3 linked regions of the Xenopus tropicalis genome follow. The protein of the gene in region 1 interacts with the protein of each later gene in a biochemical or structural test. Links are inferred from orthologs where the notes say so. Each region holds a gene or a part of one and is shown on either strand. Other genes may lie near its edges.

Region 1 (4,116 bases):
CCTCCCAGTACAGGTGGGATAGAATTGTATTGTGTACGAGGAAGTACAGAATAATCCCCACCTCAATAACATTTTATTAGAAATTCACAGGGAATTTTATAGGTGATGATGAGTAAGCACATAACAAAACAGCATTCAGTCAGTTGATGTTTACTCATCGTGCCTACTCTTTAATTTGAAAGTGTTTTCAACAACACAATAGAAAAGAAAATACCATTCTATGCAACTTTAAATATACATGAACTAATAATTTTTTGTGGTTTTTAAGTTTTCCTGCATTTTACACCATTGTTTTGTGGTCCAACTAATATTTAACACATAATAAACTTCCCTGATTTTCCATTTTTCCAGATTTTGCACCATTTTTTTCTGGTCCCCTGAAAAACGTAAAATGGGGGTACTACTGTATTCTATGCACTATTGGTTCTGACTCTTGAAACCCAGAGCCAGAGAGAAAAGAATAAAGAAATACTGCTTTAATAGCAATTAACAGCATTGATTTTTAATCAGCGTATATTGGAAGTTTGCTTAGAATTAAGTTTTCTATCATTTTACAAAAAGGTTTTTTAGGCAGAGATCCCCTTTACAGCAACCATTCATCATCATATTTGATCTTAATACAATATTTGCAATAAATTGATATTTAGCAAGTTGTGTGTCTAAACATAAAGACTGGCCAGGTAAGACACAATACTGGTATGCTAATAGAAATACAGTATATAAGTGTAATAGATATTTGGTAGATTTTTTAATACGTCTCCCAGTTCATATAGCTGACAGAAGAGTTTTTTTTATTTCACTGATATATAAACTAGATCCTGTGCTACTTGAACTTTTTGTCTGAAATCCCAAATGACATGGCTGAATCAGCTTTGTTACTGAAAAAATTGCCTTGTTTTCATTGCAATTTTCTATTTTCTATACAGGTATAGGACCCGTTATCCAGAATGCTCGGGACCAAGGGTATTCCGGATAAGGGGTCTTTCCGTAATTTGGATCTCCATACCTTAAGTCTACCAAACAATCAATAAAACTGCAATTAAATCCAATAAGATTGTTTTGCATCCAATAAGGATTATTTGTATCTTAGTTGGGATCAATTACAAGGTACTATTTTATTACTACAGAGAAAAGGGAAATCAGTTTTAAAATTCTGAATTATTTGATTAAATTGGAGTCTATGGGAGACGGGCATTCCGTAATTCGGAGCTTTCTGGATAATGGGTTTCCGGATAAGGGATCCCATACCTGTATCTGAAAATTCTTCATAATGTAAAAAGAATTATGGAGGCCCACCCAAAACAGCATGGGAACCTTATTCTGGGTCCTGATCCATAGGTTAAGAATCCTCATAATACTCAAAAGCCTTGAATAACCTAAATAATACAGGTATGGGACCTGTTATCCAGAATGCTCAGGACCTGTGGTTTTCCAGAAAAGGGGTCTTTCTGTAATTGGGATCTCTTAAGTCTGCTAGAAAATAATTTAAATATTATTTAAACCCAACAGGATTGTTTTGCCTCCAAAAAGGATTCAATATTTCTTAGTTGGTATCAAGTACACGGTACTGTTTTATAATTAAAGAGAAAAATTAAATGGGTAAGGTCCTTAGGGGGGCCAAAACGTCACATTGGCTGCTCATGCTATGATAAATACAATATTATTTTCATCACATTAAGCTCAGTGTTGCCAGTCCTCTCTACTTGCAGAATATTTCTATTGTGACACATAACTTGTGAATATAAACTGTTATTCCTTAATATCTATGCTATTACTCTTTTTATACAGTATAGCTGAGATTGTTTATTTTAGAGAAAGCCTAATGGATAGAAGTTAGTAGATGCTAATCTGAGGAGCCTGGACCAAAACAGATGCAAGCAAACGTTCAAAAGTCAAAGAAAGGCCTCATATTACACTACACCAGTCTATTCTGTCTATCTTGCATTACCTTATTAAAAAGAGAGTAATGCTTTACAAATCACTCTCACTTAAATGTAACACAAAGATGCAGCAAATGTTATAGGTAAAAAGAAAGCTGCAGACAGAAAAGATTTGTAATTTATCAAGATTCAGTGAAGATGTTTTTGTTGATACAAATTCAGCAGTTGTTTGTTCATACAAAGTAGCATCTATGGTACAAAAGCCAGGCTCCCAATGAGCAGTTTGTGTGTTAACCCCAAGCATCACGCTTCTTCCATCACTGACAGTTTTTCTAGAGCACATATGGACACTGCTCACACCCACTGAGTGATTACTCTTGTCCCTATCACCGTTGGGGAAACAGAATCACAAGGAAGTAGAAGTGTAAGAGGCTTGGGAAGAGAGGTGTTCTGAGCTGTATCAATGATTTCCCCCTGTATTAAGCACAACCTTTGCCTTTAAAGCAGTGTAACATTAGAGCAGGGCTGCCCAGTTGGTAGGCTCCAACACAGGGGGCAGGAATCCCGGGGGGCACAATATTGCGCACATGTGCGCCGGCATACAAGGAAGTGCCTCAGGGTAAGCTCAGCTCCGATGAATGCACTTTGGCACTCAGTGACTGGAACCCATCATCAGGCAAGCAAAGGTTTTCTATATCAGCTTCCTTCTTACCTTGCACTGGTTATAGTTACTGGCCGTCTTTCCCGATTGAGTAAATGAGTGACAGCCGCAGTAATGCAAAGAATTGCGTGTTGGTGATGGACAGGACGCGCTGCCGTGCGAGCCAGATAATGAATGACACCTCCTCAGCAGGCTCCTGTCTAGCTGTCCATTGCAGCGAAGGGCAGAAAAGTGAGAGCCCGGGCGCACAGCCGCACTCCTGCCTCTTTCAGTTTCCTTGTTTTCTCTTTGCTCGGGGCGGGCTCAGCCTCTCGCCTCCTCCCCGCTGGAGGGGTTTGTGCGGCTTCTTCTGCCCATCATAGAGAAGAAGTAGCTGTTGTTCTCACTTCCTGCCTGGAATTTCCCACTTGCTGTCACTTCGACCGGTGGGAGGCCAGAGAGTAACACGATGCAACTTTATTCTATGCGTATTTTTCTCTTTCTCTGTCGCCGATTGTCAGCTTTCCCTTTTTGCACACGTGTCCTGACTGTACAATAAACATTTAGTACCTTGGGCAGCACAGAGACCATGCTACTTTATTCCATAGGAATGGCATTGCAGGTGTGTGGAGTAAGCAGCACAATGCTGGCCTACCCGCCTGGCTTCTTTGCCTTCCTTTTACAGTAAACCTAAGGCCCAAGGCAATGAATGGGAGTAACTGAACATAAAGATGCAATGTGTGCTGCCTGTGTGTGCAATACTCTGCCTGCGCTATGCTGCCTGTGTGTGCCATACTCTGCCTGCCCTATGCTGCCTGTTTGTGCAGCATAGGGCAGCATATATGTATGGCAAAGATGGCACCCTAAATGAAAATCCCACTGCTTTGAACACATGGCCTGTCTGGATTAAAGTTGTTTGTATATGTATAGATATTTTCCTATACCAGATGAACGTTGTAAGACTGATTGTTCGGTTTATAGAATTATGAATCATTAACACAGAAGGGGTCATTTACAAACTGAAAGGCAGGGTGCAATTCACCATCTTTTTGCACTTTGCACCCTACCTTTGAGTTTATAAATGACCCCTTTTGTGTTAATGATTCATTGTTCTATATACAGTACACCAAATAATCAGTCTTATGCCTTATATCTGGTATAGGACAATAGCTATACATTTACAGACAACTCTCTTTATCTGTATTTATTAATTACTTTGCAAAATGTATTGCAAAATTCACATATTATTTAAAAATAATGTTTCAGTGTTGCAGATATATGAAAATCATAGTTTTATCTTAATGGTCAACTTTAGAGTAACTAATAAACTTTAGAATTCATGGGAAATGTTCCAACAACCAAGGACAATTTAAAAGGGCTGAATACTGAGACTGAGTTGTGTATTACATAATGGTAGTACAGGTATGGGATCCCTTATCCGGAAACCCATTATCCAGAAAGCTCTGAATTACAAGAAGGTCATCTACCATGGACTTCATTATAAGCAAATAATTTACATTTTGAAAAATTATTCCTTTTTTTCTGTAGTAATAAAACAGTACCTTTTACTTGATCCCAACTAAGATATAATGAATC
Region 2 (3,653 bases), on another chromosome or scaffold:
TACAACATTTGCACTCTATGCACTGCCAGCGATAAGTCTTAACTGCCGCCATCATTACGGGTGTGAACTGCAAACAGGAAGGGTGCCCTGTGTCCACAACATAGTATGTAAGTGAATATTTTGCATACATATGTATCCAATATCTGCGTTCATCCAAAAACTAAAAAATACCATATTTCTGCTGACCTCTGCAACATGTGCATAGCAACCGGCTGTAAATCTCAGCAAGCTAATCTGATATTTCTGACCTGAGGATCAATAACTCAAATCATAGGGGAACTTTAGAAGGCAAGCTGCCAAATGTTGAAGGGAGTTAATTTGCTGTACAATGTTGCTGTATACATTTGTTCTATGGATGTACAAAAAAAAAAAAAAAAAAAAAAAAAGCAAAACAAATGATGGTGCCCCAATCCTGTCCCCCCGCACAGCGCTTAATCTTTAGTGTCGGAGAAGGTAAAGGTGGTGCCACATCACTAGTGCAGAAAAGTGCTATTGCACTCTCTGCACTAGAAGAAAAATAAAAAATTGTAAATTTGGCTTTTTGCTACCACTGTTAACTGGCCGGCAAAGTGGTTTAAAAGTTCATCCCCAACATTCATTTTGAGGTCCACAACCCACTTAGCTTATAGCAAGGTTTCAAATGAACCCGTTTTTCAGTTTTAAGAATATCTAGGGCTGCAAGTAAGTCTTCACTCCTCACTTAACCCTTCAATGGGGATTTCAGGAGTATCTAAAGTGCAAAAAAAAGCTCTCACCCTAATTGGCTTGCTACTCAGAAATTGCCCAACTTCCCCGATCCCCCATGCCCCTCTAAGTGGATGAGGCCCGCAGTTAGCCAAGAACTGCTCTAAATTATTAGCAGAATGCACATTTATATAGCTTCTAAACATATATATGCATCACAATATCCCATTTTAGAATATTTAAATTGAGAATTCCTGAAAAACATTATAGTTCGGAATTCCTATGAGTGTTAGGACAGCCCATTTGGGCCTTCAACTTTTAAATGCAAAAGCTTTCCAGTTAAAAATAAAATCAGATGCATCATGTAGTATTAAGTCTTCATCAAATACTAGAGTCTTCTTTTAACATACCAGAGCGGCCGCAGTCTGAGCAGGACACAAGCTCCTCAGCCTGGTTTGTTTTCTTGTTAATCTTAGAGTCTCCAAGGCAGAAGTCACAATAATTGTTTGGCAGTGCAAGACCATCTGGGCCCTTTTTGGCTGGGAAAAGATAAAAGCATCAAATATGTTGAAAAAGGAGAACAAGAAGGAACAAACTTAAAAAAACTATTTTGAATAACCTAAGTAATGCAATCCTAAGCAATTTTTGATATATACTTTTAATGATATGAAATGTATTTGTAATTGCTATTGAATTATTTGTAATTAATGAATTTGTAATCGCTTTTGAAAGCAACACCTAAAACAATGGTGCCCTAATCTACGCTACCATGGGCGACTAATCTCCCCAAAATGCTTTCCCACTAACAGTAAAGTGAATTGCCGGTTGGAAAGCATACATGGTGCTTCGTTTTCTGAAGTTGCCCAAACATTTCCTCTGCATTCTGTGTAGATGCCTAAACTTACATTTTTGTTCCTCTGGTCTCTGCATGATAGGAGTGGGAGGCTGAGAATCCTCCTTATCTTCTGCCCCGGCACCTTCTTCATCCACAAGGTGTGAGTGGGCATAATGATAGCTCAAACCAGGCCTGTTTTTATAGCGTTTTCCACAGACTGGGGGGAAAAAGCAGGACAGCAGAAAATGAAGAGTAGAAAGAAGTAATAAAGCATTAGTGCAATGATAAACATTAAAAAGAGTCAGGTGAAAAATCACTACCCCACCAAAACAGGAGGATGTATAACAAAGCAAAGCCACAAGGGAAACTGGGTGGCAGGAAAGGATAGTTTGCAGGTGTTTTACATTGGGGACAGATGTTACTGTTACAGTAAAAAAAGGTCATGTTTTCACAAAGAACTTAGAATGTATTTAGTAATTCAGCAATAATTTTGCAATATCAACCACTTTTTTGTGCCATAAGCTAAAAGACACCTACATAACTCAATATGCTTTATAAGGTGAAAGTAGAAAACATCATGTACCACACAGGAGTACCAACACAATACTGCCAGATGTAAAAAAAAAAATAAAGTTATTCTTTTATTGGAGGTACAGGTCCAACAGGCAGATCAAAGATCAAAAATGATTTTCAGTTTTTGAGATGATATTTTAAAGATGCCAGCTAGGATGGCACTGGAATGTCTGTGTGGTTGGTATTCAAAATCTAAAAGTGCACCTCCAAGTAAACCTCCCTGGACTTCAGTCTTCATGCTACAGCTTTTGGTTTAGGTATTTTAAATTCCTGTGGCTGAATATTTAGAAGCAGTTTGCCTCCAGGCCAGACTTTTACCAGCATAACTATAAAAACCTTAAACTTCTGCTTTGGGGTAGCCTGCTTTTAAAGTGAGAAAAAAAGCAAACAATGTTATTGAATTACGAAGCAGATAAATACCTCTGCACTTCTGATCTGGCAACAGAAACATGTGTTACACAAGGAGTAAGGAAGAGCACACAGACAGACAGAGACTAATCAGTCAGGCATGTTACATTGCCCCAGAACTTTGAGCCTGCTTGTTGCACAACATCCTGACCTGGGCACATACCTTACCAATTTAAGGTAAAAGGTTGTCCCAGATCCGGAGTAAGACCCCGATTTACATATATGGATGAAACAGTACCCTGAAATATATGTTTGTGTGACCCTATGGGTCCATTTCTTGATAGGTTTGTTTCTGCTACCTATTTTAATGATGCCTTAAGTCCCTTTAGAACAGAAATTATACGGAATTCTTAAGGTGGCCATATACTAATATTTGCTGGTAATGACCACTGAGCCTGTGGGCCAAAGGACGGATATTGTATTGTATCCATAAAAAGTGCATCCACCTTTCTACCATCTCAAATGACAGAAATCAAAAACAGTAGGAGCCGTGGCCAGTTGGGGGTGGGTGGGGGTCCTGAGATTAAATCCAGCAAAACCCATATATCTCTAGTTATGCCACTGGCTATGGCTTTACCTTCCCTTTGACAAACCAACCTATAAAAACTGATAAAGGATATCAGCCAGAAGTATTTGACAAACATATTTGAACTGAAGATAGGATGAAAAGCTTATCAGTATGTTTATGGCCAGCTTTAGAGGAGCATCTTCATGGAACATAACCTCCATTCCCAACACCCTTAAAGGAGAACTAAACCCTAAAGATGAATATGGCTATTTTATACTTTTTTTTTTTTTTTACTAAACTGACTGTACTAGCTTCAAGTTTTAGTATCTCTACAGTAGTATATAGTAGTATAGTAGTATATAGGTCTTTACAGTTGCCACAGGAGCTTCCCATCTTGGATTCTGTTAGAACTGTCCTGGACAGTGCACACGATCAGTGTTTTCTTGGCAGCTACTGAAAAGCTAAGCTTAGGGGTTGTCGCAAATGATCAAACTGAAAATGAGGCTGGCCTGTCAAACTGATGCTACAGGTCTAATTATAAAATTCTGATGCAAACTGCACTGGTCCCAGAGCTGCCATATAATGAGAATCTGAATTACTAATCAGCATTATACGGTTACATTTATATTCTATATTATTCTAAAT
Region 3 (4,148 bases), on another chromosome or scaffold:
CATGGCTTCCACATGGCAATACTTACTGCAGCTGAGCCATAACAATCTCAAGCACGCACACACAGTATGCACTGTTTCTAATACAAACAGCCACTTATCATATATAAACACAGACAAACTGTATTGACCAATGCAACAAGGGATTGCCCGATGGACTGAACTCATGCTTTATCAGACCAAAAGACATGTGACAGACCAGGGGCTTAACCACTGAGGAAATCACTATAAATATCTCAGCACTTGCATTATAGTGAAACGAAAATATGCAAGTTATTTACTTTCCATCCAGCCCTACAAGGATCGGCGCAGACAAAGAACTGCACCAGGGAAGCAGAAAACAAGGACTTTCCCAGTTTCCAACACTCATACTTCCAAAGAAAATAACAAAGATTAAAGGGGAGGGGAAAATCCAAAAATAAACTAGAAAATGTAATACTTTCCAATACACATTCATTACATATTTTCAATAGTTTTAATGTTATATACATTTTATTGAAACTGTATGTCTGGCCATCTTCTGCCACATTGTTCCTAAAGTCAGAACCAGTAGACTTGCAATTGCAATTTGTTTATTTACAGTGCAGTAGGGCAGATTGTTAGCCTGGGTATAAACTGGCAGGCTGACAGTCATGGGGCCTTAACCTTGTACCCCGCAGTATATAACCTGTTACTCTCATTTGTTTGAGTATTTTGCACTTTAATGCCTTTGAGCCACCTTCTGAGCACGGGCCACCTACTGAGCAGCAAAAGAGCAATGTTTGGGCAAGCAAGATACAAGGAATGTGCATCTATAAATGGCGTCACGTAACCTCTGAGCCTAGAACAGGTGGATAAACAGGCACCATCCTAGAATAAAAGTGCACATGGTCCAAGAGAAGTGGTTTTCAGCATTATTCAGTTCAAACCCCTCGTTAGAGTGCATCATCAATCCAGGGCACCCTTAGCTCATTACAAGGCCACAGACATATGAAAAGATTGCTAAATCAGCCATAAATTCTAGAATATCTAACATAGCAAATAAGCACACACTAAAACTCACCCTAACTGTCCTTCACCCTGGGTCCCCGGGCAAGACCCTGAGCCACCTGGGGGGGGCAGCCCACAGTTTGGGAACCACTAAAGGTTAGGTGTATGAGGCTGCAGAAATAACATATTTCACACTGTCCAAAAATGGTACCAACCCAACTTGCATTACTTCTGACATTGCTAGGTAACTCAGTGTATTGTGGTGGGGCACATATTAATGCACATACAGAGCTCAGCTTAGGACTGAGGGTATGCATGGGATCTTTGGTTTACACCAGGTATAATATACAATAGAATACAATTATGGGATCCCTTATCCGGAAACCCGTTATCCAGAAAGCTCCGAATTACAGAAAGCCTGTCTCCCATGGACTCCATTTTAATTAAATATTTCAGAATTTTATAACTGATTTCTTTTTTCTCTGTATTAATAAAACAGTACCTTGTAATTGATCCCAACTAAGATATAAATAATCCTTATTGGATACAAAACAATCCAATTGGGTTTAATTAATGTTTTGTTGATTTTTTCCAAATTTTCCAAATTACGGAAAGGCCCCTTATCCGGAATACCCTTGGTCCCGAGCATTCTGGATAACGGGTCCTATACCTGTACAAGCTCTTATCCTCATCCCCCTCCCACTGAATGCACAGGGGGTTTATGTGTGGGTTCAAACTGCAACCATCAGTACAATATACAGGATCAAGCAGGTCTGAAGCCAGACCCAGCAGCTATTAGAAGGACACGGATATAAAGATGGTCTCTTACGATTCCTAACTGTTATAGCACCCCACGTAGCTACTCAGCGTTCCTTCTGCATTGATAGAGCAGAGCTACATAAAGGAGCTACATTAATCACTTTAGAAAGTACCATTTACTAATCCAACAGCCTGTTGGGTGGAGAAAGGTTGGAACAAAAACAGAACTGTTCCAGCAGCTCCAGTGCACATGACTGATTCCACTGGTCAGAGACTGCAGAGAGCTGGGTGCCTACACTGATAGATTTGTCTTTTGTTAAATGTTTTTTGTTAACACCATACAACAGACTCTGTAAAGGCAGGACTGGGGGGCCTGGAACCCCACCATTCCCCCTTGCACCCCTGCCACCCTGTGTTGCCTAATGCAAGTGAGTGCAGGGGGTGAGGGAGCAGCTGGGGGTGCAGCTCATTACAGGCAGTGAGGGCCCCCCAAAATACTACCCCACTGGCCTCCACTTTGACAGAAAATATATGTGCCCCCCTGTACAGTAGCCATTTCATCCAGCCTGGCCATAGTGGGCATAAGGGCAACTCAGTATCTAAAGCTTCAGAACATATATATTAGCTTGGCACCCAGTGAGAAGAACGTTACCATGGAAACTGGTGTCTCTGTGAGTTGTGTAGGAGTCCTCCCTGCCATCCCCACAGTGCCAGCCGCAGCCCCATTCCTACCTTTGTGCCCGGGCATGGCTGTCCCGGCTCCGCCGCTGCCTCACACGGCTCCCATGTTCCGACTGTGCCGCTTGCTGAACTGAGGGCTGGAAAGTCCAAAACGGGGAGGTTCCATGAGCGGCGGCACGGCTCTTCCTGGAAATGATGAGAAACAACAAGAAAAGCAGGAGATTCTATTAACCCCGCCAGTGCCAGGGAGAGGAGCAGTGTGGCAGCTCTCAGTGTAACTCTCGCTGTGTCCCCCAGGGAGGAAATCCCCACACCCCCGCTGCTCATTTGCTTATCCCCGGGGGAGACTCTCTGTGCCGCTTATCTGCCTGCTGCACTCACACAGAAACTCCCAGCAGCCTCAGCGACTCCCAGTGAGCAGCTTCCATCCCAGGGGGGATTCACTGATACCAAGTGACACATACAAATAGCCTGGTGTTGCACTATAATTCTTAGCCCTGGATATGGTGGGCTACAGAGAGAGTAGTACAGGTATAGGACCCATTATCCAGAATGCTCCGGACCAAGGGTATTCCAGATAAGGGATCTTTAAAATCAGTAAAACATTAATTAAACCCAATAGGGCTGTTCTGCCCCCAATAAGGGGTAAGTATATCTTAGTTGGGATCAAGTACAGGTACTGTTTTATTATTACAGAGAAAAGGGAATCATTTAACCATTAAATAAACCCAATAGGACTGTTCTGCCCCAATAAGGGGTAATTATATCTTAGTTGGGATCAAGTACAGGTACTGTTTTATTACTACAGAGAAAAGGGAATCATTTAACCATGAAATAAACCCAATAGGACTGTTCTGCCCCAATAAGGGGTAATTATATCTTAGTTGGGATCAAGTACAGGTTCTGTTTTATTATTACAGAGAAAAGGGAATCATTTAACCATTAAATAAACCCAATAGGGCTGTTCTGCCTTCAATAAGGGGTAATTATATCTTAGTTGGGATCAAGTACAGGTACTGTTTTATTATTACAGAGAAAAGGGAATCATTTAACCATTAAATAAACTCAATAGGGCTGTTCTGCCCCCAATAAGGGGTAATTATATCTTAGTTGGGATCAAGTACAGGTACTGTTTTATTATTACAGAGAAAAGGGAATCATTTAACCATTAAATAAACCCAATAGGGCTGTTCTGCCCCAATAAGGGGTAATTATATCTTAGTTGGGATCAAGTACAGGTACTGTTTTATTATTACAGAGAAAAGGGAATCATTTAACCATTAAATAAACCCAATAGGACTGTTCTGCCCCAATAAGGGGTAATTATATCTTAGTTGGGATCAAGTACAGGTACTGTTTTATTACTACAGAGAAAAGGGAATCATTTAACCATGAAATAAACCCAATAGGACTGTTCTACCCCAATAAGGGGTAATTATATCTTAGTTGGGATCAAGTACAGGTTCTGTTTTATTATTACAGAGAAAAGGGAATCATTTAACCATTAAATAAACCCAATAGGGCTGTTCTGCCTTCAATAAGGGGTAATTATATCTTAGTTGGGATCAAGTACAGGTACTGTTTTATTATTACAGAGAAAAGGGAATCATTTAACCATTAAATAAACCCAATAGGGCTGTTCTGCCCCCAATAAGGGGTAATTATATCTTAGTTGGGATCAATTACAAGGAGAGAAAGGAAATCAGTTTTAAAATTTTGAATTATTTGATTAAAATGGAGTC

What was found.
Region 2: the proteins of nfkb1 (region 1) and dpf2 form a complex in vitro, tested with the Homo sapiens proteins (2 studies listed by BioGRID). The link is inferred for Xenopus tropicalis from reciprocal best matches to the Homo sapiens genes NFKB1 and DPF2.
Region 3: the proteins of nfkb1 (region 1) and map3k8 form a complex in vitro, tested with the Homo sapiens proteins (2 studies listed by BioGRID and IntAct, with this or other methods). The link is inferred for Xenopus tropicalis from reciprocal best matches to the Homo sapiens genes NFKB1 and MAP3K8.

The regions. Positions count from the first base shown.
Region 1 is NC_030677.2:73,654,890-73,659,005, forward strand, and holds the start of nfkb1 (nuclear factor NF-kappa-B p105 subunit), read right to left. Parts: upstream 2,899-4,116; 5' UTR 2,593-2,898; intron 1-2,592.
Region 2 is NC_030680.2:32,327,708-32,331,360, forward strand, and holds part of dpf2 (zinc finger protein ubi-d4), read right to left. Parts: intron 1,737-3,653; coding exon 1,590-1,736; intron 1,224-1,589; coding exon 1,095-1,223; intron 88-1,094; coding exon 1-87. UniProt on the Homo sapiens protein: Plays an active role in transcriptional regulation by binding modified histones H3 and H4. Is a negative regulator of myeloid differentiation of hematopoietic progenitor cells. Might also have a role in the development and maturation of lymphoid cells.
Region 3 is NC_030682.2:23,823,455-23,827,602, reverse strand, and holds the start of map3k8 (mitogen-activated protein kinase kinase kinase 8), read right to left. Parts: upstream 2,816-4,148; 5' UTR 2,474-2,815; coding exon 2,458-2,473; intron 1-2,457.